4 linked regions of the Drosophila melanogaster genome follow. The gene in region 1 interacts genetically with each later gene. Each region holds a gene or a part of one and is shown in the gene's direction. Other genes may lie near its edges.

What was found.
Region 2: of stan (region 1) and ed, changing one enhances a phenotype caused by changing the other (phenotypic enhancement), as found in Drosophila melanogaster (one study listed by BioGRID).
Region 3: of stan (region 1) and SMC3, changing one suppresses a phenotype caused by changing the other (phenotypic suppression), as found in Drosophila melanogaster (one study listed by BioGRID).
Region 4: of stan (region 1) and fy, changing one enhances a phenotype caused by changing the other (phenotypic enhancement), as found in Drosophila melanogaster (one study listed by BioGRID).

Annotation. Positions count from the first base shown.
Region 1 is NT_033778.4:10,671,555-10,676,355, forward strand, and holds the start of stan (starry night), read left to right. Parts: upstream 1-1,790; 5' UTR 1,791-2,415; intron 2,416-4,801. UniProt on the Drosophila melanogaster protein: Involved in the fz signaling pathway that controls wing tissue polarity. Also mediates homophilic cell adhesion. May play a role in initiating prehair morphogenesis. May play a critical role in tissue polarity and in formation of normal dendrite fields.
Region 2 is NT_033779.5:4,029,508-4,034,416, forward strand, and holds the start of ed (echinoid), read left to right. Parts: upstream 1-1,869; 5' UTR 1,870-2,048; intron 2,049-2,915; 5' UTR 2,916-3,168; coding exon 3,169-3,262; intron 3,263-4,909.
Region 3 is NC_004354.4:16,588,465-16,595,368, reverse strand, and holds SMC3 (structural maintenance of chromosomes 3), read left to right. Parts: upstream 1-1,929; 5' UTR 1,930-2,002; coding exon 2,003-2,017; intron 2,018-2,094; coding exon 2,095-2,209; intron 2,210-2,285; coding exon 2,286-2,425; intron 2,426-2,622; coding exon 2,623-5,742; intron 5,743-5,816; coding exon 5,817-6,029; 3' UTR 6,030-6,373; downstream 6,374-6,904. Other genes in the region: Ubc7 (ubiquitin conjugating enzyme 7), read right to left, coding at 560-678, 839-1,098, 1,182-1,263, 1,326-1,368; CG13014 (uncharacterized protein), read right to left, coding at 6,563-6,904.
Region 4 is NT_033779.5:8,400,934-8,404,864, reverse strand, and holds fy (fuzzy), read left to right. Parts: upstream 1-1,584; 5' UTR 1,585-1,783; coding exon 1,784-1,861; intron 1,862-1,919; coding exon 1,920-3,034; intron 3,035-3,093; coding exon 3,094-3,151; 3' UTR 3,152-3,387; downstream 3,388-3,931. Other genes in the region: emb (embargoed), read right to left, coding at 1-577; CG31898 (uncharacterized protein), read right to left, coding at 3,388-3,931. UniProt on the Drosophila melanogaster protein: Plays a role in the organization of cell polarity via a planar cell polarity (PCP) cascade. Involved in the development of the hairs on the wings.

The DNA of each region.
Region 1 (4,801 bases):
ATCCAAACAAAAATGTGCCACATAAACAAGAAGACGCTGATACGTTGAGTGCATTTTACATATTTTTTTACTACTCTCAGATTGTTTATTTATATTGAATACAAAAATCGGACTTTGCTTATTTAAACAAAATTCCTCGAAGTGATATTTTTCCAAGTGTTTGGCCTGCTTGGCTGGACACGCTGAATCGTGGAGGTTTGGCCTTGTTCCCTCCTGATAACCCATCTTCCAACTCCGATCTCCGAAAAGGGCTGCCGGCTTTCGACGTGTGTCAAGTGTGCTGCATTTGTTTAATGCCAGCGCTCAGTAATTGGAAAGCATGTCGAACATGTCGAATTTATTGCCCCGCAAAAAGCACACAGATACAAATTGAAACGGTTACAGATTACGGATGCAGCTAGCTACACATGGCCACAAGGTTACATAGACACGGATACAGATCAATGGGGGAATTCAGAGCATTCCGAGTCAATGGCTTGGAAGAGCCTCAACCAAATGCAATTAATCAAACGCAAGGGGCCAATGTCAATTACATGCAAGAAACCCCCATTTCGGTCTCCTATTCTCCTATTCCTTCGATTCCTCCCAAAATCCCTTCGATTCGTTGCTATTCGGAAGTATTCGGACCACGTCAGCTGGCCAAATGCGAGTTGTTGGCCAAACGACGATGTCTTGGCCAACACCTTCCTGTAAGCTATAAATTCCGCCGACACATACATACATCTACCAGCGTAGCCATTACCCACGACTGTTGTCCTTGTGGGCCAAAAGCTTGTTCGGTTTCTGGGTCCCAGCATATGTTTATCACTGCTGCCGAATTCTGCCAACCAAAATTGCATTAAATATTTTGCATAATTCGATAAACTGAAATCTAATCGAATGGCAAGCAGGAACATGCGAATTTCTGGCATACCTATGTATAGATCCCAATTGGAATAATGATTCATCCCTAATGGCTTCGTAATTGAAACTATTCACTTAACAGCTCTTGACACTTGAACCTCATCATAACATGGAAAACGGTCATTTGGTCGGTTTTAATGGTGTACTACATTTTTGGTTTTGACAGTGAACTTTTAGCATATTATGTTTCTGAACATAAATTGCGTTGATTTAGACTATCGCTTAATTATGCCAAATAATATGTTTGTTTGTTTATTTAGTTTTCAAACCAAGGCGTTCAACAGAAAATGAATTATTATTGGTGGGACACAAAAACTAGGCTATATGGAATATTATTTATTAATATTAACAAATGAATACACCACATGTAAATTTATAAGTTAGCAATTTTATGTTCAAGTTTTACCCGTAAGGGATAATGTTCCACCATCTTTAGATTCGCAAACTAATTCCGATTACAGGTGTTGGCCCGATGCACAGATAACACATTTATTTAACATTTATTTAATAAATAGTAGTAAAATTATATAAATATCACATTTAATAAATTGAGTCGATTTAAATCTTTGAGCATGCAAAGCGTGCTGCAAAACTAATTTACTGATAAGAAAAAGACTTTCGAAGTTTCCAAAGATTGAATATCCTACAGGTTGAAGAATCCTGGATCAAATTGCACGTTTTTATGCTCGGGGATGCAAACCGAAATTTGGTGGCACCTCTCTCTGCTGCCGCAACATGTTGCAACAGTCGCGGCAATGTTGCTGCAACACGCAGTCACCCCCCGCAGAAAATCCACCACCGACGAAAGTATCCATCGGATACACGAACTCGCTTCGGCTTCCAACTGAGTTTTAGCAAGAAACTCAGTTTCTGTTTCTGGTTTTGCCAGTTACCACTGCGACTCCGGACCGATTGGACGCGTTTTGAGCGTTTGGCCAGCAAGAACGGTATTATTTTTCACTCGGGGCTACGCGTGCGCGTCTCTGCAAAGTCAAAAGCAAAGACAAATGCAAAGGCAAGTGCAAAGCCAAAAGGCAGAGGTAAACGCAAACCCAAAGTAACAACTTCGACGGTCGAAATTACCGGTTTTTCGCCAACACAACATACAACAATCCTCGCTCTCAGTGAATTTTAGCGCGCGGTCTTTTCTTCGCCTGCTGTTTTCAGAAAAGTGCGTTGGCTTTTCCAACAACCACCCCCTTTTTTTAGCCGCCCAGCTTAACGGTCGGGGTTATAGTCGGTTTAGCATTCGAATTATTCGAATTTCCCGGAATCAAAATAGTTAAATCAGTTTAAACAGTGCTCTAGAGTGAGGCCAGTCACACAAACTGGCGAGTGCTAATTATAATATATTGTGTTAATAATACAAACACAAGATTCACGCAGAGGAAACAACACGGATGCGCGATTTTAAATGCAATATTATAAATATTTAACAATGCAGCCGTGCAGCTAAAGCGGATTATTGGCCACCCACGCGTGGAAATTCAGCGGCAGAGCAAACAAAAGCCTGTAAGTTCACACGTTCCAGCCAGGATATATCAAGGATATGTGCATGTGCTCGCGCATATACATATGTCCTTGTGGGCGGGATGCGGCTGCATTCTAATGGGAATTGTGCGACGCATGACACCTGATTCATGACGTATGACAGGTGTCGTTCCAACAGGACACTATATGTTCCGCAGGCGTGGCCTTAAATCTCTTAGATAAACTTCGTATTTAAGGGCTTACGCCATAGCGGAATCGCGTAATTCATATTTTCAAAGGGTTATAAGCTCTAGAAAAGTATTTTGTATCTGCATATAAATGGGGGCCTGTATGAAATATTGCTAGAACCTTTATTTGTTATATGATATGGAAAGACGCTTAGTGGTTCTGGCTACCTCTGAAATGTTTCGATTTAAGACGTTCTTAATTAACGGCTTTCAGCTCTAGGGCTTCGGCAATAAAATAGAGCTCCAATTGGGCCTTTAAACCTAAGGCCTCTTTCTTGGCCATCTCCAATTAGCAGTTGGCCCAAACAGTTGGCCGATGGCCGAAGTCGAAGTCGAAGTCCGACGCTCACACAGTGCAACTGTTAAAGTTCAGAGCCATCGCAAAAAGATACAAACGCGAAGCTCTAAACAAACATTAAACTGAATACCAAATGAGACAACAAAAGGAGGAAGCACAATAAAAGTCACATTAAAACGTGGGTCAAAAACGCGGAGAGCGCGAGGAGAGAAAGGAGAAGAGTTGGGTCAAAACATAACCGAAATCGGAATCGGGGAATCGTGGAATCAAATGCCTGCACGAGATACAAATGTATCTGTATCTGAGCGTTGCAAGTGCTTTGTTTTCCCTGCATTTCACACTTGTCCATGGGATTTTGCCTTTGCCATTGCGTTTGTATCTTTGTTTCTGCGCCCTTTGTCTGGCGCATAAATATTTCAGCAGGCCGGGACAAACTTATCTGCTGGATACATTATTCACTCGACTCAGTTTTGTCGGATTGCCAATTTATTAAGATAGATTTTATTTTCGAGGCCATTAACAGGGCCTTTGTTATATTTCGATGGGGGCCAGATACTCTCGCACATTTATGTTTTATGATTTTCTAGTTGGAATGCGGTGTGTTTGGTGCAATTGGAAGAGTCAAGTCAAGTCCATTTTGAGCCTGCCAGTGGCAAGTAGCTGAAAAATTGTTGTAAGACTGGTTTTCTGCTACTGCTCCTCGTTCGACCCCTTTCTCCCTGCCTCTCTCTAGCTCTCTCTGTCTCTCTTTCTCGGCGTGTTACCAACCTTTTCCCATTCTTCTTGCGGCTGGTGCAGAGAAAAAAAAGTTATTTACTTAGGTTAATTATGTGATCCAAGTTTAGTTACACACAAAAACATCAAATGTCGTTCTATTATATTTTATAAGACGATTAATATTAAGAGTTAAAGGCTTAAGGTGTTATCCTTTAATTTTTACAATAGGCTGTTTTCTTGAAATATGTGTAGAATGAGTTTAATCCATTTATATTTGAAATCAAATAATTGCGGATATAAAGATTAAGTTGTAGTAGAGGAATTACTTGAATAAAATTTAAGAAAAAGTAGGTAAATAAAATATTTTACCGTGCTTAAAATGAGTTTGTTAGCGCCTGGCTCTCTTCGCGGTTTTGCAGCTGTCTCGGCCAGGTTAGGAGCAATCCACCACCGGCAGGCAGATCCGCTACGGGCCATCATCCTGACCAGAACGCATCCTCTTCTTCTTCGGTAGCCGCAACCTGTTTTTCATTGGTTATGTTTTTTGTTTTTTTGAGTTCGAAGTGATCAGTTAAGACTTCAGTTGGCCAAGGAGCCAACGAAAAAGGTGATTTTTTCCGGCTTCTGATGCCACATTCACTGCGAATAGCCAACTCGCACGGCGAACTAACCTCAGTCAATCCATTCGATATCCATGCCGGCATAGGAAAACTCGTTATGACTCTTGATTAATTAACATTTGAATGCTGTCTCGTGCCAGTTAATGTGGCTGATTTGTGACCGGCTTGAGTCCATCAAAATATCAACAGTCTATTGTGGAATTTATTACAGAATCAGAGGGCCAATGGCCAAATGAGATTTGCATGGCATGGAGTTGGACGAATTCGTGTGCACACACCAGAGATTCATTGATGACGTTGATGGTCCACATTTTTCGGTATCTTTTGTGGGTTTATGGTGGCCTCTCTTGGCCACTACTCACACGGCTATCCATGAGATACTTCTGCGTAGGCATCGGCCCTCTTGGTCGCGCACTCAAAACTGGTTTCGGCCACATTCAAAATTGTTATGTTAGAATAAAAGCTTAATTGATGCATATACACACGTACGGTTCAGTTTTATACGGCAGCAGTGGTCCGTAGATACAGCCGAAAAAAAAAACAGT
Region 2 (4,909 bases), on another chromosome or scaffold:
TTAATACATATTTTAACCCAAATTTATGGCGATTAATATGCAAGGAAAGTAATGCTAAGGAAATTACCAGGATCTACGAGTAAACAGCAACATTAAGCAAGGGATAGGGATAATTAAGCTGGATTTTCGTGTGCTCCTAGCGAGGGAAGGAAGAAAAAAATGGGGGGGGGGGAGTGGTTGTGTTGTCTAGTCGTCTTTTCACCTGAGGGAAATGGGGGCGGGGCCAGCCCGCCAACCCAAAGGTCATTTGTATGCGTCTTTAGTAGCGGGACATGTCCGGCGTTTTATGATGAGGAGAAATCACCTTGGGGCCCAAATCAAAAATTCAATAAACATTGAACAGCGACGACAGAACAGACAGAACGAGCAGAAAATCTGTTTTAAAATTATTTACCATTCTTGGGCTGCTTGTAAGTCCTATGCATTCATTATGCAAAGCGCGTGGCATGACTGCTAAATAAAAATATTGAATATGCAGAGCCACTTCAGCTGCTCAGAAACAAAGCGGAAAAAATCAATCATTCGCGGTATTTCTCAAAAGAAAAAAAGAAGAAAAAACCCTACATAATACCAAGACTTAGTGCTACTGTTTGGGTAAATTATAACAATTGCGTACTGATTTTAGTGGATAATCTAAACACTATCTATACTATACTATATACGGTATAATTGTTATTTGAAAGTACAAACAATTTTAAGTTTTTTTTTGTAACCTGGCTCGTGGGTGTGGTCATAAAAAAGTCTAAGAAAGGTTTAAGCTGCTGAGTGTCGTAGCAGTGAGGTTTTCGTCTCGAATATAACGTGTTTTTTAGAAAACGGGTTTACTTGAGGTGTGCAAGAGGAAGGAGGTCTCTTCACAAACTCTTAAGATAACTGGTTTAATGTAGATCGCTACAGGGGGTGCGAAAGAGATGGACATAGCTATGTGCGAACTTAACGAAGTTTACTTGCCTTCAAGCTCGAACTTGTTGCATGTACACTATCGCCGCACCTTTCGCACCACTCTTATACCCGTCACTCGTACAGTTAAAGGGTATACTTAATTCGTTGAAAAGTATGTAACAGGCAGAAGGAAGCGTTTCCAACTTTATAAAGTATATATATTCAGGATCAGGAACAATAGCCGAATCGATTTAGCAACACACTTTCTAACACTTTCGCATTTCGCATTCGCATTTTCACTAGCTGAGTAACGGGTATCTGATAGTCGAGAAACTCGACTATACCATTCCCTCTGGTTTAAAACCAACTTGTTGCTGGCTTTTCTTATTTATATTTTTCTTGACTAATTTCCCGACTGGTTTTTCTTGTTGGCCAAAGAAACGAGTTTTCTTGGAAAAAGGCACTCAAAACCTCTAGGAAAATGCAACATGTTGCTAAAGGCAAATTGAATTTCCATACAAAATTGCTTCTATTCGTTGCTGCCTTAGGCTCATTTTCACCATTTGGGTCCGTTATCGACGAAAAAAATATAAAATATATAAATACGCATACAATGTTTTTAAAACCAAATGAAACAATTTTTTTTCCAAAATGGGTTTACTTCTCCTTAAAAGTTACATATAAAAGAAACTACATGATGATTTAAACTTAAAAACAATTTTAAAATTATTTCAAATTTATTGGTTCTTTTGTTGAAAACATTACATGCCTAAAATATAAAGGCAACATTTATTATTTGTTTTCTGAATATAATCAAACTTAAGAGAAATTCGCTATTATGTTCTCTTAATAAAAGTCGAGTCAAACATGTTAGCTTAACTTAACAGCGCTGTTAACGGCTCTCATCAAACGCGTTCGACTCGAACTTGTGCGGACTGTGTTGTGGAACTTGAATTTTGCGGCTGCGGCTCAAATTTTCGTTTCCCTTTCTCTGTGTGTTTTCCCATTTCGGATCGAACGCTTCGTGGAAAAGTGAGCGCGCGTTGTCTGAATTTCCCGCCGCGTTTTTCGTCGATTTCCGCGTGTGTGCGAACAACAACTCAGCAGCAGCAACAACAACAGTCCCAATTTATTGGGTAAAACGCAGAAAATATACTAAATTTGAGGTATAAAATTGAAATTTATACAAAATTACTGTGCACAGTGTATGTGTGTGTGTGGTTTCAGTGGCAGTGGAAAGACCAAAAGCAACGGTATACAAAATCAAAACAATGCAAGCAAGCAACAATAAATACAAAATAATAGATTTATTTCGAATAAACAACAGTTAAAACTTTAAGAAAAGGAAACGAAGCTAAGATAAATAAGAAAAAAACGCAGCATCTGCGTCATCTCTATCTCGCTCCCTCCCTCCCGTTTTATCCACGATCTCTGACGATCGCTCTGTCCCCCTCGCACTCGCACATCTTTACCGATTTACCTGGGAAACAGGTTTAGCGTCCATTTCGTGTGTATGTGTATGCGTGCGTGTGATTGTGTGTATAACGTGTATTGGTGTGTTTCTTGGAAACCTTTTAAGTGATTTTCTTACCTGCTCAAAAGTACAACAAAAGCAATAAAAACATGTTGCAACTCTAAAGCAACAACAAGCACGAAAAAGTGTGAAGCATAAATGCAGTTATAACTGTGAAAAAGGAGAGGTAGATAAAGGCGAAGCAAAGATATGGATAAATGAGATGAAAAAGAAAACTTAAACAAAGTAAAAAAAACCTGTTAAATTTTTTTGATATATTAATAATAAAAAATATATTATTAATTATTGCAAATTTATGAAAAAAAAAAAACAATGGATGGATACAACTTAAAAGAATTAGTGATAATACAACAACTGCCATAAGGACTTGGATTATAAACATAAACTGCACTTGAATAACTAATAAAAAACAAGAATGCCCGTGGAACCACATACAACATCTTAACCCCACAAAGCCGAGCAATTTCTAATCAACAACACCATTCTTAACCCTTTTCAGTTGTTCTTCTTCGTTTTCGGCTATCCGTTCAAAGTTTCGTGTGCAATAAATAAAAAATACTATATCGTCGAAAGCATAAAAACATTAACCAACGCAATGGAGCGTTGCAACAACACCACTAACTGCGAATTGGAATAAGAAGTCCAGCAAAAGTAGCAAAAATTGTTTTTGCAAAGGGAATTGAGAGTAGCACCCAAAGATAAGCAAAAACAGTAGAAACATATACAAAATATATTCAAAATATAGTCACAAAATGAGGCGAAAAACTACCACGAAAGGGACGGCAATAGTCAATAGCAGGAGTGCGAGGAGAGCAGCAACGACTATATGCAACTTTTTTCTCATCGGTAAGTTTACTTTGTTCGTTTGATAAGAAGCTTTTTGTTTGCAATGGAGTTATATATGTATATAATTGCTAAGAAGATTACCCAGCTTTTCTCGAGCATTATTCCAGAACTTAAATATCTATAGGGGGTATCACTTGAGTTCATTTGTTTATCGGTGGTAAGATTGATAGCTCCCGATAAATCCCAATCTATTCGCTAGCTCACTCTTTGTGTTCGGCACACGCATATCACAAATCAATTAAAAGTTTCGGTTCCGCCCTTGACATACCCTGCTTATGACAGCTCCCCTTTTTCCGCCACTTTCCTCCGGCATTTTCCCCCTGTTTTTTCAAGTCGCCTTTGCTGTTGTCACCTTGCGACGTCACTTTAGTTTTTTGTTGATCTAGGTTGTTGCAGCTTGACGTCAGCGTAAAGTTTTTTATCTGCTACCCAAGCCTCCCCAATTTTCCACGCAATTTTCCGCAGCCCACCCCTTTGTTGGCTCCTGTCAATTGGCAGCATTTACTAGGAAGATATTGAATCGGTAGCTAAAGTAAAGTCGATATTCCATGAAAAAAACTGATTAACCATGTATTTACTATGTCTATATCCACACTTGACAGTCTGAAAGATATAAGTATCGTCTTAATTAAAAATTCCAGCATAATTTTCCACTTTCCAGATGCTCCGCATCAGTTAGGAAATGCTGTTATTATGCAAGAATATTTACTGTGTCACAAATAAAGGGCGCAAAACTGGGGGAGAGGACACAGTGGTATAAGTATAGGAAAAACTTTAGTTTGGCACGCTTCGGCAAAGTTTTTCCCTTCCGCACACATAATGCTTTGCTTACAAAATGCTTTTTAATACTTAAAGAACCCCTGGAAAAGTCGGCAAAGGGGGGGGGCTGGGGCTAAATTTAAATGTGAATTATATCCACTCAATCGGGCAAATCGGTCAAGGGAAGTCGAAAAGGGGAGCAGCCAGTTCCTTTTTATTAATTTGTCTGGCGATTAGTTGGGGGCTAGTCCCTCTGAGTTTTTAACCCCCTCAAAAGATATATTGCACCATTAACTTTATGGCGCTCTCCGCGTTTTCAGCTCGTGTTTTGTGTGTGTGCAATCAGTTAATAAACAAAACGTGTTGATTTGACATCTTAATTGGGCCTTTGACACGCGTTTTCCAACGCTTTTATACGAACTACTCGTAAAAGTCGTCTTTGAAGCTTTAACTGTCAACGCCTCCGACCGAAAAAAAAAACGAGAAATCAATGAACTCTCTATGGAGGCTTTTTAGGCCTCAAGCTTCTGGGGAATTGCTCCACTCGGGGGCATTATTAGATTTGATGACAGTGGCCAAGAGGGAATTGACATTTAAAACAGGCACGCGGATCGGAGGGATCAGACATTAAAAACGCATTAAAAGATTAGCAACGAGGAATGGTGGAAAACTAAAGACCTTTGGCGGCTTAGGATAATAATTACTTGGTAATGTGCAAATGGGCTGAACTAATAACCTTAGCGGTTTCGTGCTTATATATGTAATGTATAAATAGTTTAAAAATATTTAAATATTTATTTAAATAAACCAACATTTTCCAAAACGCCCCTTCCATGATTTATTTTTAGCCATGTCTTGTGTCTTTTTCCCACACCATCTACTTGATTG
Region 3 (6,904 bases), on another chromosome or scaffold:
TTGTGTAGTATTTTATGAGTACATAGGACAATTTCATGTTGGATTTCAGTTAATGATCAGTCGAATTAAGTGTGTAATGACTATATAAACCAAACATAAAGCATAATGCAAATCAAACGCCTCAATCACTTCGAATACATTGCCCTTGCACTTGAATTATCGTAATTTCTATTTAACTTTTCAAAACAGCATCTTTATAAAGCATCAATACAAATTATATCTAGTGAAAATATATAAAAAAAAATAAACCTTTAATAATAGAAATTATTAGAATTTTCACTTTTCTTGCCAACTTCTCACTCCGCCTTCACCTGGCCTCGTGTCCAACTACCAGTGATGTACTTCAGGTAATAGGCCCTCCAGTTAAGTCCGGTGAGGCAGTCAGTGTGCTAGATAAACTTGAGTTAGTCGATTTTGACGTTAGGTTCTTCATTTTTGCTAATTTGAAACTTGTGTCGGTTAGCTCAACGAGGGATTTTTGAGAAAACTATGGGTTAGCGAGTTGTTGGAATCGTGTTGTTCAGGGTAGAAAGTATTGACGGTGACGCACATGATCCATTTACGCCGGTAAACCAAGAGTTTTGCGCACCAGCCGTCGGGCGATGGCGTTGAACTCATCCCTCTGTTCGCGCCACATAATTGCTGCATCCACATTAGCGCCGCTCTCATCGTTGGGTTCTGTGGGCAAAAATGAACGACATCAGTTTGAACTTAAGGAATGAACAAGTGAAGTGAACTATCGGCATGATCAACCATATAATCTAGTGAACAAATGAACTTGGAAGTAGATACCCCCGTTGGAATTGCCCTTAAGACTTTATTGTGACTTTTTTCTTACCCGCCAGCATGCTGACCACACTAAGCAAAATCTTCTCCACGCTCTGGACAGGACTCCAGCGCTCCGCGGATAGCTCGTAGCCCATGGGATCGTCGCCGGGTGCGTGTAGTATTGATATGCAGACCCGCCCGTCGGCGAATATGTTGGGATGGAACATGTCACAAGTGAATTTCATTTTAGGCGGACTCAGAGGATAGTCGGTCGGAAAGATGAGCCGGGCAGGAAACACTCCGCCCTCGAAACAAGTGCCCTCAGGTCCGCTGCAAAGGGCAAAGTGCAATTAATGGGTTAATCTGTCCACATCTGTCCGATCCGTGTCGATCGTTCGGGGATCTTAACTCACGCAATCAGTGCCTCCCACTCGAAGAAGTTGTCCTCGCTGATGGGGCCGGCCACAATGCCCTCGGGCGGGTCAAGTGTTAACTCTGGAGATGATCGGAGCGGTGGTAAGGGAAAGCTGTTGCTGCCCTGTGGACTTTCGACTCACGTTTGTATTCCGCCATCAGGCGGCGCAGTGCGGACCCAGCCATCCTAAATGCGCTCGATGGTAATGATGATGGTTCAGTTCACGGGCTCCTTCTCCCCACTGTGACCACTTCCTTTGAGTTTCCTTCAGCTGCTTCTCCGTTTCCTGTCCACCTGCTCCTGCACCTGCTACACCCGAATGGGGTCCTTGCTTGTTTTGGCGGCAATCGCGAACTTTCCAGATCCTCGGGCACGGGTCAAAATACAGACACGTCGTAATATAATAAACACAAACGGTGTTCCGTGTTTATTTATATCGAATGAATCGAGTGGCTTTCTATAAAAATATATCTGTACTGAGTGAATTTAACAAGAGTAATCGATTCGATTCGATAACGTCGGCTATCGTTGTTTTAGTATTTCACACCTTCAAACTACCTTATTAAATTAATTATTTGTTTGCTTCTTAAACCATTATTGATGGACACTTTTAGTTGTAAAATTTAAAATTATTTTTTTGTTTTATATCATTTGAATTTTTGGTTCGATTGCAAGCCAGTGTTTTTCAAAGTTGGGATATCGATGACATCGATAGTGAAACGCAAACATCGATAAGTCGCTGCCCGAGTCGATATTATTTATGTATTTGTTGTAAAACAAAAAGAGCGCGATTTTGTGCAAAAAATCGCATATAATAAGATGCACATCAAGCAGGTGAGTGTTGAAATGACGGCCATGCTCCTGGCCACCCATTGGACACCGAAGATCTGAAATCCACCCGTTAATTCCAGATTATTATACAAGGCTTCAAGAGTTACAAGGACCAGACGGTGGTGGAACCATTCGACAAGCGCCATAACGTTGTTGTTGGACGTAATGGCTCCGGGAAGAGCAACTTCTTCTACGGTTAGTATCAGCTCCAGCCTGCCTGTTCAGCTAACCATATTTAATCGACCCTAATGCTATCCCATCCACTTTGCAGCCATCCAGTTTGTGCTAAGCGATGAGTTCACCCACTTGCGGCCGGAGCAGCGTCAGTCGCTTCTGCACGAGGGAACAGGTGCCCGCGTCATCTCCGCCTATGTGGAGATCATCTTCGACAACTCGGACAACCGAGTTCCAGTGAGTAGTCAAACCAAGTGACCCAGAAAACATAGTCTTTGCAAGAACTCTACTGCCTTGGAAGATGTAGTCAATGGTTGTAACATATCGCTCAAAATCCTCTAAAGCAACCCGCTCATAGCATCTTCTCATAATATTCAAACTTATAGGCAAACATTTCTAGCCACTTCATAACTGACGCTACGCTTATTTTGTAGATCGACAAAGAAGAGATCTTTCTGCGGCGCGTGATTGGCGCCAAAAAGGACCAGTACTTCCTCAACAAGAAGGTGGTGCCGCGCAATGAGGTGGTCAATCTGCTGGAATCGGCTGGTTTTTCCAGTTCAAATCCCTACTACATTGTCAAGCAGGGCAAAATCAATCAGATGGCAACTGCCGCCGATTCCTATCGTCTCAAGCTGCTACGCGAAGTCGCGGGAACGCGTGTTTACGACGAACGGAAGGAGGAGTCGTTAAATCTATTGCGCGAGACGGACAGCAAGGTGGAGAAAATCAGCGAGTACCTAAAGACCATCGAGGATCGGCTCCAGACGCTCGAAGAGGAGAAGGAAGAGCTAAAGGAGTACCAGAAGTGGGACAAGACGCGCCGCACGCTAGAGTATATACGCTACGAAACCGAGCTGAAGGACACCAAGAAGGCTCTCGACGAGCTCCAGCTGCAGCGCAAGTCGTCCTCGGACAAAAAGAAGATCTACAACATTGAGATTCAGAAGGCACAAGAGAAGATCAAGGATGTGCAAAAGAACCTTAAAGAGGCAAAGAAGAAAGTGCAGAGCACAAAGGAGGAGCGCTCCGTACTGATGACGGAGCAGCAACAGTTACTGCGCGAGAAAACGAAACTAGACCTAACCATTGTCGATCTAAATGACGAGGTTCAGGGCGACAACAAGTCCAAGGAGCGGGCTGACCAGGAGCTTAAGAACCTTAAGGTAACGATAGCCGAACGCGAAAAGGAACTGGACGACGTAAAGCCCAAATACGAGGCGATGAAGCGCAAGGAGGAAGACTGCTCCCGAGAGCTGCAGCTCAAGGAACAGAAGCGCAAGGAGCTTTACGCCAAGCAGGGTCGCGGTTCACAGTTCTCCTCTAGGGAGGATCGCGACAAATGGATCACCAACGAGCTGAAGTCAATTAGCAAACAGACGCGCGATAAAATCGCTCATCACGCAAAACTCGTGGAGGATCTGAAGAAGGACGCTACCTCCGAAAAGGATCTGGGTCAAAAGATCGAGGAGCACTCATCGGAACTGGAGCAGCTCCGACTGCAGATCGACGAGCACAACAAGAAGTACTACGAGCTTAAGAAGACCAAGGACCAGCATCAGTCCATGCGAAACGAGTTGTGGCGCAAGGAGACACAGATGACGCAGCAGCTGCAGACGCACAAGGAGGAGCTATCGCGGGCGGACCAGGCGCTGCGCAGCATGGCCGGCAAGCCGATCCTGAACGGTTGCGATTCTGTGCGCAAGGTTCTCGACAGCTTTGTGGAACGTGGCGGTCAATCGGCGGAGATTGCGAGAGCCTACTATGGACCCGTCATTGAGAACTTCAGCTGCGACAAGACCATCTACACGGCGGTGGAGGTAACAGCCGCCAATCGGTTATTCCATCACATTGTGGAGTCAGAATACGAGGGCACGCAAATCCTCAAGGAGATGAATAAGCTGAAATTACCGGGCGAGGTGACCTTTATGCCCCTGAATCGACTTCAGGTTAAAATACACGATTATCCGGATGATCCCGACTCCATACCTATGATCTCCAAACTGAAGTACGATGAACAGCACGACAAGGCGCTGAGGTATATCTTTGGAAAAACGCTAATCTGCAGAAATTTGGAGCGCGCCACCGAGCTGGCCAAGAGCACTGGGCTGGATTGCGTTACGCTGGACGGAGATCAAGTGTCCTCCAAGGGATCCCTCACTGGCGGCTATTTCAATACATCCCGTTCCCGTCTTGAGATGCAAAAGAAGCGCACGGAATACACCAGCCAGATAGCTGAATTCGAAAAGAAACTCAGCAAGCTGCGAAACGAGCTCAAGTCCACCGAGAACAACATCAACTCAATCGTATCCGAGATGCAGAAGACGGAAACGAAGCAGGGCAAGTCGAAGGATGTATTCGAAAAGGTGCAGGGCGAGATTCGCCTGATGAAGGAGGAGCTGGTGCGCATCGAGCAGTATCGTGCGCCCAAGGAGCGCTCACTGGCCCAATGCAAGGCCTCATTGGAGTCCATGACCAGTACGAAATCTAGTTTGGAGGCGGAGCTGAAGCAGGAGCTGATGTCGACGTTGTCGTCGCAGGATCAGCGTGAGATTGACCAGCTGAACGACGACATTCGTCGACTGAACCAGGAGAATAAGGAAGCGTTTACGCAGCGTATGCAGTTCGAGGTGCGCAAGAACAAGCTAGACAACCTGCTGATCAACAATCTGTTCCGGCGTCGCGACGAACTGATCCAAGCGCTGCAGGAGATTTCCGTGGAGGACCGCAAGCGAAAGCTAAACAATTGCAAAACGGAACTGGTTTCCGCCGAAAAGAGAATCAAGAAGGTCAACTCCGATCTGGAGGAGATCGAAAAGCGGGTAATGGAGGCTGTGCAACTGCAAAAGGAGCTGCAGCAGGAGCTCGAAACGCATGTGCGTAAGGAGAAGGAGGCCGAGGAGAATCTTAACAAGGATTCCAAGCAGCTGGAGAAATGGTCGACCAAGGAGAACATGCTCAACGAAAAAATCGATGAGTGTACGGAAAAGATTGCCAGCTTGGGCGCCGTGCCGCTAGTTGATCCTTCCTACACACGCATGTCCCTGAAGAACATCTTCAAAGAGCTGGAGAAGGCAAACCAGCACCTGAAGAAGTATAACCATGTGAACAAGAAAGCCCTGGATCAGTTCTTGAGCTTCTCCGAGCAGAAGGAGAAGCTCTATCGCCGCAAAGAGGAGCTCGACATCGGTGACCAGAAGATCCACATGCTAATTCAGTCATTGGAGATGCAAAAAGTGGAGGCCATTCAATTTACGTTCCGACAAGTGGCGCAGAACTTCACCAAGGTGTTTAAGAAGCTGGTGCCCATGGGCGCGGGCTTTCTCATCCTGAAGACCAAGGACAACGAAGGCGACGAAATGGAAAAGGAGGTGGAAAACTCCGATGCTTTCACAGGGATCGGCATTCGGGTTTCGTTCACCGGCGTTGAGGCTGAGATGCGTGAGATGAACCAGTTGTCTGGTGGACAGAAGTCGCTTGTCGCCCTGGCCCTCATTTTCTCCATCCAAAAGTGCGATCCAGCTCCCTTCTACCTATTTGATGAGATAGATCAGGTGAGTCGTCACATTACCTATAATTACGCATTACTTTATTTGATTGACTAATGATCTACTAATGTTTTGTGCAGGCGCTGGATGCAATGCATCGAAAGGCGGTGGCGAACATGATCCATGAGCTCAGCGACACTGCCCAGTTCATTACGACAACGTTCCGGCCGGAATTGCTGGAGAACGCGCACAAGTTCTACGGCGTGCGATTCCGAAATAAGGTCAGTCACATTGATTGTGTGACCAGGGAGGAGGCCAAGGACTTCGTCGAGGACGACAGCACCCACGCCTAGGAAATTGCCCCGCCCAAAACCTCATCCCTCAACCCACCACAACCATCTCTCGCCCCAATTATTAGTTTCGTAGGCGTACGATTTGTTTTCACATTCTTTTAAATCGTATACATATATATATATATAGTTTTCTTTCTAACGATACTTGCTACATTTAATTTTCCTTAACAATGAGAGTTAGTTTTCGGCTAGGCCGTGCTCGTTGCGTGGAACACTTCGAGCCGGCGAACAAAACCGAGAGTATAGAAACTCCAAGCCCAGATCAATATGTAATAAAGCGCATAGAGAAGTAATTTAAACTATATTTAAAACGAAAATATGTATTAAAAAGCTTATGCAAAAGGAAACCGTCTAATCCAATATAATTCCACACTTTTATGTATGTATGATAACAATGCAATAATTGTTTCGAAATAAGAAGTCTGGTTTATTACTCAAAAAATTGTTCAACAACGTGCATCTTATAATTAAATGTTGGTGTCTTAGAGCTTGGCAATCAAGGCTCCAGTCCCTGGTTGCCCGACCAGCTACTCTCAGCTGGCCACAGCGTCCAGTTGCTCCTGGATGGCATTCAGCGCAAAGATGGTGCTAAAGCACATGCCCACGGTGGCCACCTCCAATTGGCTGATGTTGTAGTGCAGCGGCAGTCGCCACAGGACAAAGTGATTCAGCAGAACAAGCAGGGCCAGGCCAAGTGACCACCAGTGCTCGTCGACGATGGCGATGCGCCAAAGACAGTGGACATTCCACAGAACACAGAGGCCCAATTGCGCGGCATCCAGTTTTATGAATGTGGCACCCAGTGGACTGCGACTGTTGCCGAACCACAAGCTGGTGACTGCAAGTGCCAGTACAGCGCTCCACAGTCCAAAGGC
Region 4 (3,931 bases), on another chromosome or scaffold:
CTTTCAGGTGCTTGGCCTTAGTCTGCGTGATCTGACCCTGCGAAAAGTCGAACACCTCCTCACTAAGGTTCTTCAGGATTACCATGTTGTTCATGCACAGGCTCTCGTTCGTTTTCGACGCACCGACAATGTCACTGATGAATGTCTCCCAGTTGCGTGGCCATTCGCGCTTTAGAATGTGGACCAGAATCATGTTTAGCTTATTCAGATACACTTTGTTCTGCTCCATAACAATGGGATCCGACGAGGTCTTGATGATAAGACTGACCACATACTTCTTGATTCCCTCGCACTGGTTGCGCGGCAGGACCTTCCAGCGCGTTTTGATGACCTCCTCGAGGATTTGCAGAGCATAAAACTTGGTCCGCTGGTTCTGTGAGTACTCCAATATGCTGTCCACCCGCGTCCATGCCTCTGGATGCTCCTTCAGCGTGGTCAGTATGCTCTGGGCTAGACGCAACTGCTCGCCCTGCGCTGTGTACACAACCTCGACGATCTTGTCCAGCAGATTAATGTCCAGCTTCTGGGAGAAGTCGAGCAGCTTGCCCGCCTCGTCCGATGTCAACATTGTCGCCATCGCTTTGTAGTAGAAGCGGCGTTCGCGTCGGCGTCGCTCTGCAGTTGTGTCCGCGTTAATTTTGATAGCTTCTTGGCTTCCTCCTCCGCCGGATGAGCTCGGATCTCACGTTTTTTCCCTTTGGATTTCTTGTTTTTGCTGTTTTTTTTTTCCACTTTATTTATCGAAAGTGCGCGGCGGCTTCTGCTTCAGCTTCTTCTTCTTCGCACTATGATGACGGTGAGGAGCGGCGACTCTCGATCTGGATCGGGATCTGGATCTGGTGCCGGGACTGGACCTGAAGCTGTGGAAATAAGACCGTTGGTTATACATATTGCGTACTTTTACGCCTGTCGACAGGCAACCATATTTCTTTTTTGTTTTCTTGTTTCATTTTTTTGGAACACACAACTACAAGCGCACGCTGTTGCCTGCGCGCGCTACACTTTTTCGCACTCGCACACATACAAGCGCTCGGCACACCACACATACGCACACACTGGCACAGGCGAACGCATCGCCGCCGCAAATGCGACAAGACTGCGGCGGCATTTCCCAAATTTTCTTAGCTTTTCAAAACGCGCCAGCGAGGACGCAGTGTGTAATTAATTAACAATCATGAACATGTAATTCACATATCAAGCTTACCTTTTACCGATTCCAGAAAAGAGCAGCGTGTGAAAACGACGACGACGGACAATGCGAAATGCAATTTGTGAGAACAGTGTGCCCGTATGGTGCTGAACAAACATACGTCCACAGCCCTGGTCTACAGGCATGCACGCAAAGTGATCGATAACGTTGATCGAATAAAATAATCAAATGGCATGGATGAAGATGCTTAGTTTGTTGGCTTACTTACTGCCAGAAACATCGATGTCCCTGATATCGAAAAACATCGATGTTTTAAGCAGCGATGTTTTAAAAAAAAATACAAAAAAATATTATCTGTTTAATTTAATGGAAAAACAAACCAGTATGCATGCATGCATAAATTGACATAAATATATTTGAATTTGATCTGTTCTCCTGAATCAGCTACAAAATACTGCATCTTACTGATTTATTACATTAAAACACTAAAAGTATGCAAGTAATTCAGATAAAAGTTTAAAATAAATCATATTAATTTACTAGTGCATCGCTTATTTTCGATAATTCAAAACGAATCGATTTAATCGATGTAAGCATCATACGTAGCAGGTTCGGCGAAGAAGAAGAGCTGCGATGTCCATCTATTTGTTATGTTTGACAACAAACGGCGGATTGCCAGTGTTTACACGAAAGAAGGGAGAATGCGAAAATGTAAGAGTAACATATTGCCTACCTATTCACTTAGTTAATACCCTTTCTCCATATCCAGCTGCCCTTCTCGACGGTGGCCTCCTTAAACGGCTTTCACATGTTCTTTAAGTCGCTGGGAATCCAACTGGAGGCCACGACGACCAGCAAACAGCAGCCTATCCAGAATCAGGCTCCCGCGGATGCCGAGGAGTGGACTTACATATGGCGCGACCGGGAATCCATCACCCTGATCGTGTGCGGCTGCGGTGTTGGGTCGGAGCAACTGCTTCAGACGCTGGCTGATCTTGTCTTTGGAGCGATAGGCATGTTCATTACCCGGGCCGCAGAAATGGCACATGCAACGCTCCTCGATAGACTGAAGAAGGACGCCAAGAAGTATGTCCCGATTGTTGACGCTATTCTGGAAGCCGCCTGTGCGGGTACACAACTCCTGGGCTACACGGACTGTCTGCTGGCGGCGGAAAACGCCCAGCTGCTGCAGTGTCTAAATGAATTTAGTGGCCACTGTGGCTCGCTCTTTTGCTGCCTGGTTGTGGGACACCGTATCGCTGTGGCCACTGAGGGCTGGTGGGATCTGGACACTCGGGACCGCGAGCTGCTGCTGTTTCTGTTGAATTCGTCGAGCACAATGCAACACGATGTGCCGGTCTATTTGCCCGTGAAAAGTCCCCATATAGCCTACCGCTTTGTCAGTATTCCTGTGGCGTCGAACAGTGCTCTGTGTGTCCTGTGTGGCGCTGAGAATGCCTCGTTCCGAGAGTTGCATGCACATGCCATGAGTGCCTACCGGAATGAAGGCAACCTTTTGGCAGCCGCCGAGCGATGCGTGCCGCGCAGTCTGCCCGAGCATCTGGAGATCGATGGAAATGTGCTGGCCATCATTCTAATTAACCGACACACGCGAAAAAGTCTCTTTACCAGAAATCTAAACCAGTCGGCGAGTGTCAAGCGCATCATTGTGGGCGATCTACAGCGCTTGGACATTCTAAAGAAGTTTTTCGATCAAACTATGGATGCAGTCCACCAATTTGAAACCCAGTCGTCCAGCAATAAAACTACGTTAGTGGACCAATATAGCTGCTCGGACTACCACAAGTGCTATGCCCATATGGATGAGCTGGGCAATGTCATATTCTTGTTGTTTGTGGCAGCGGTGCCCTCGCACGCAATGAGGTGCGATTATAATTATTTACTTTGATGACAAGGTTTTAAAATCAGTATTGTATTTACAGATTCCTTGCGCAACGCATCCATGCTAATATACTCCAGGAGAAGTCAGTATGTTGGTGATACGATATTTCTTTCTAAGCCTAAAGACTGATTTTTGTTACTACTTTTCCATGAAATAATGTTTTTTTTTAAATGACATTATATTTAACGAACAATAGGGTACAACTCCTTTTCTAAAGTTAAGCGTAATTTTTGACAAATCTTATATGTATATGCTACATACTAATATGGCTTTAATGACTTACAATTCCGTCCTTACAAATACTATTTATATATTTTAAATATACAATATGTCCTTATCCTTTTATTACAACATTGTATGGGCGACAATAGACCAGTTGTTTCTTGTTTAGCTCTAAGGGCTTTATCCTTGGATCCAGAAAAAATTGTACTATAGATCCAACTGTAAGTTGTGTGGTTTCTCCTTTTGGAGGAAGAATATTGAAACTACGTCCATTATCGGAAGCCACTAGGGCAATGGTAACACCATACTGGTTTGTAACAGACAAAATTTTAGCCGTGTGAGTGGCTGCATGGTTTTTAAGTTGACGCTGATCCATTCTTACTTTTTTGAGGACTTTACGGAACTCCTCAGCATAGCCTCCTTTAACACAGCGAGGGTTTGCCTTCAAATTGACTCTATTTTGGCTACTTGGCAGATACTGCCTAGGACTTTCACTAGGAACAAGTTGAATAGCTGGAGAAGATTCGGTATAGCTATCCTCGGTCAATCCAGAGCAGTTAGATTTATTCAGCGAGCTTTGACTTAACGATTTCCAAGAAGTTTGGAATGAAGACGTTGGCAATCGTTGAGGAGTAGGTGGATCAGAGTCAATGTTC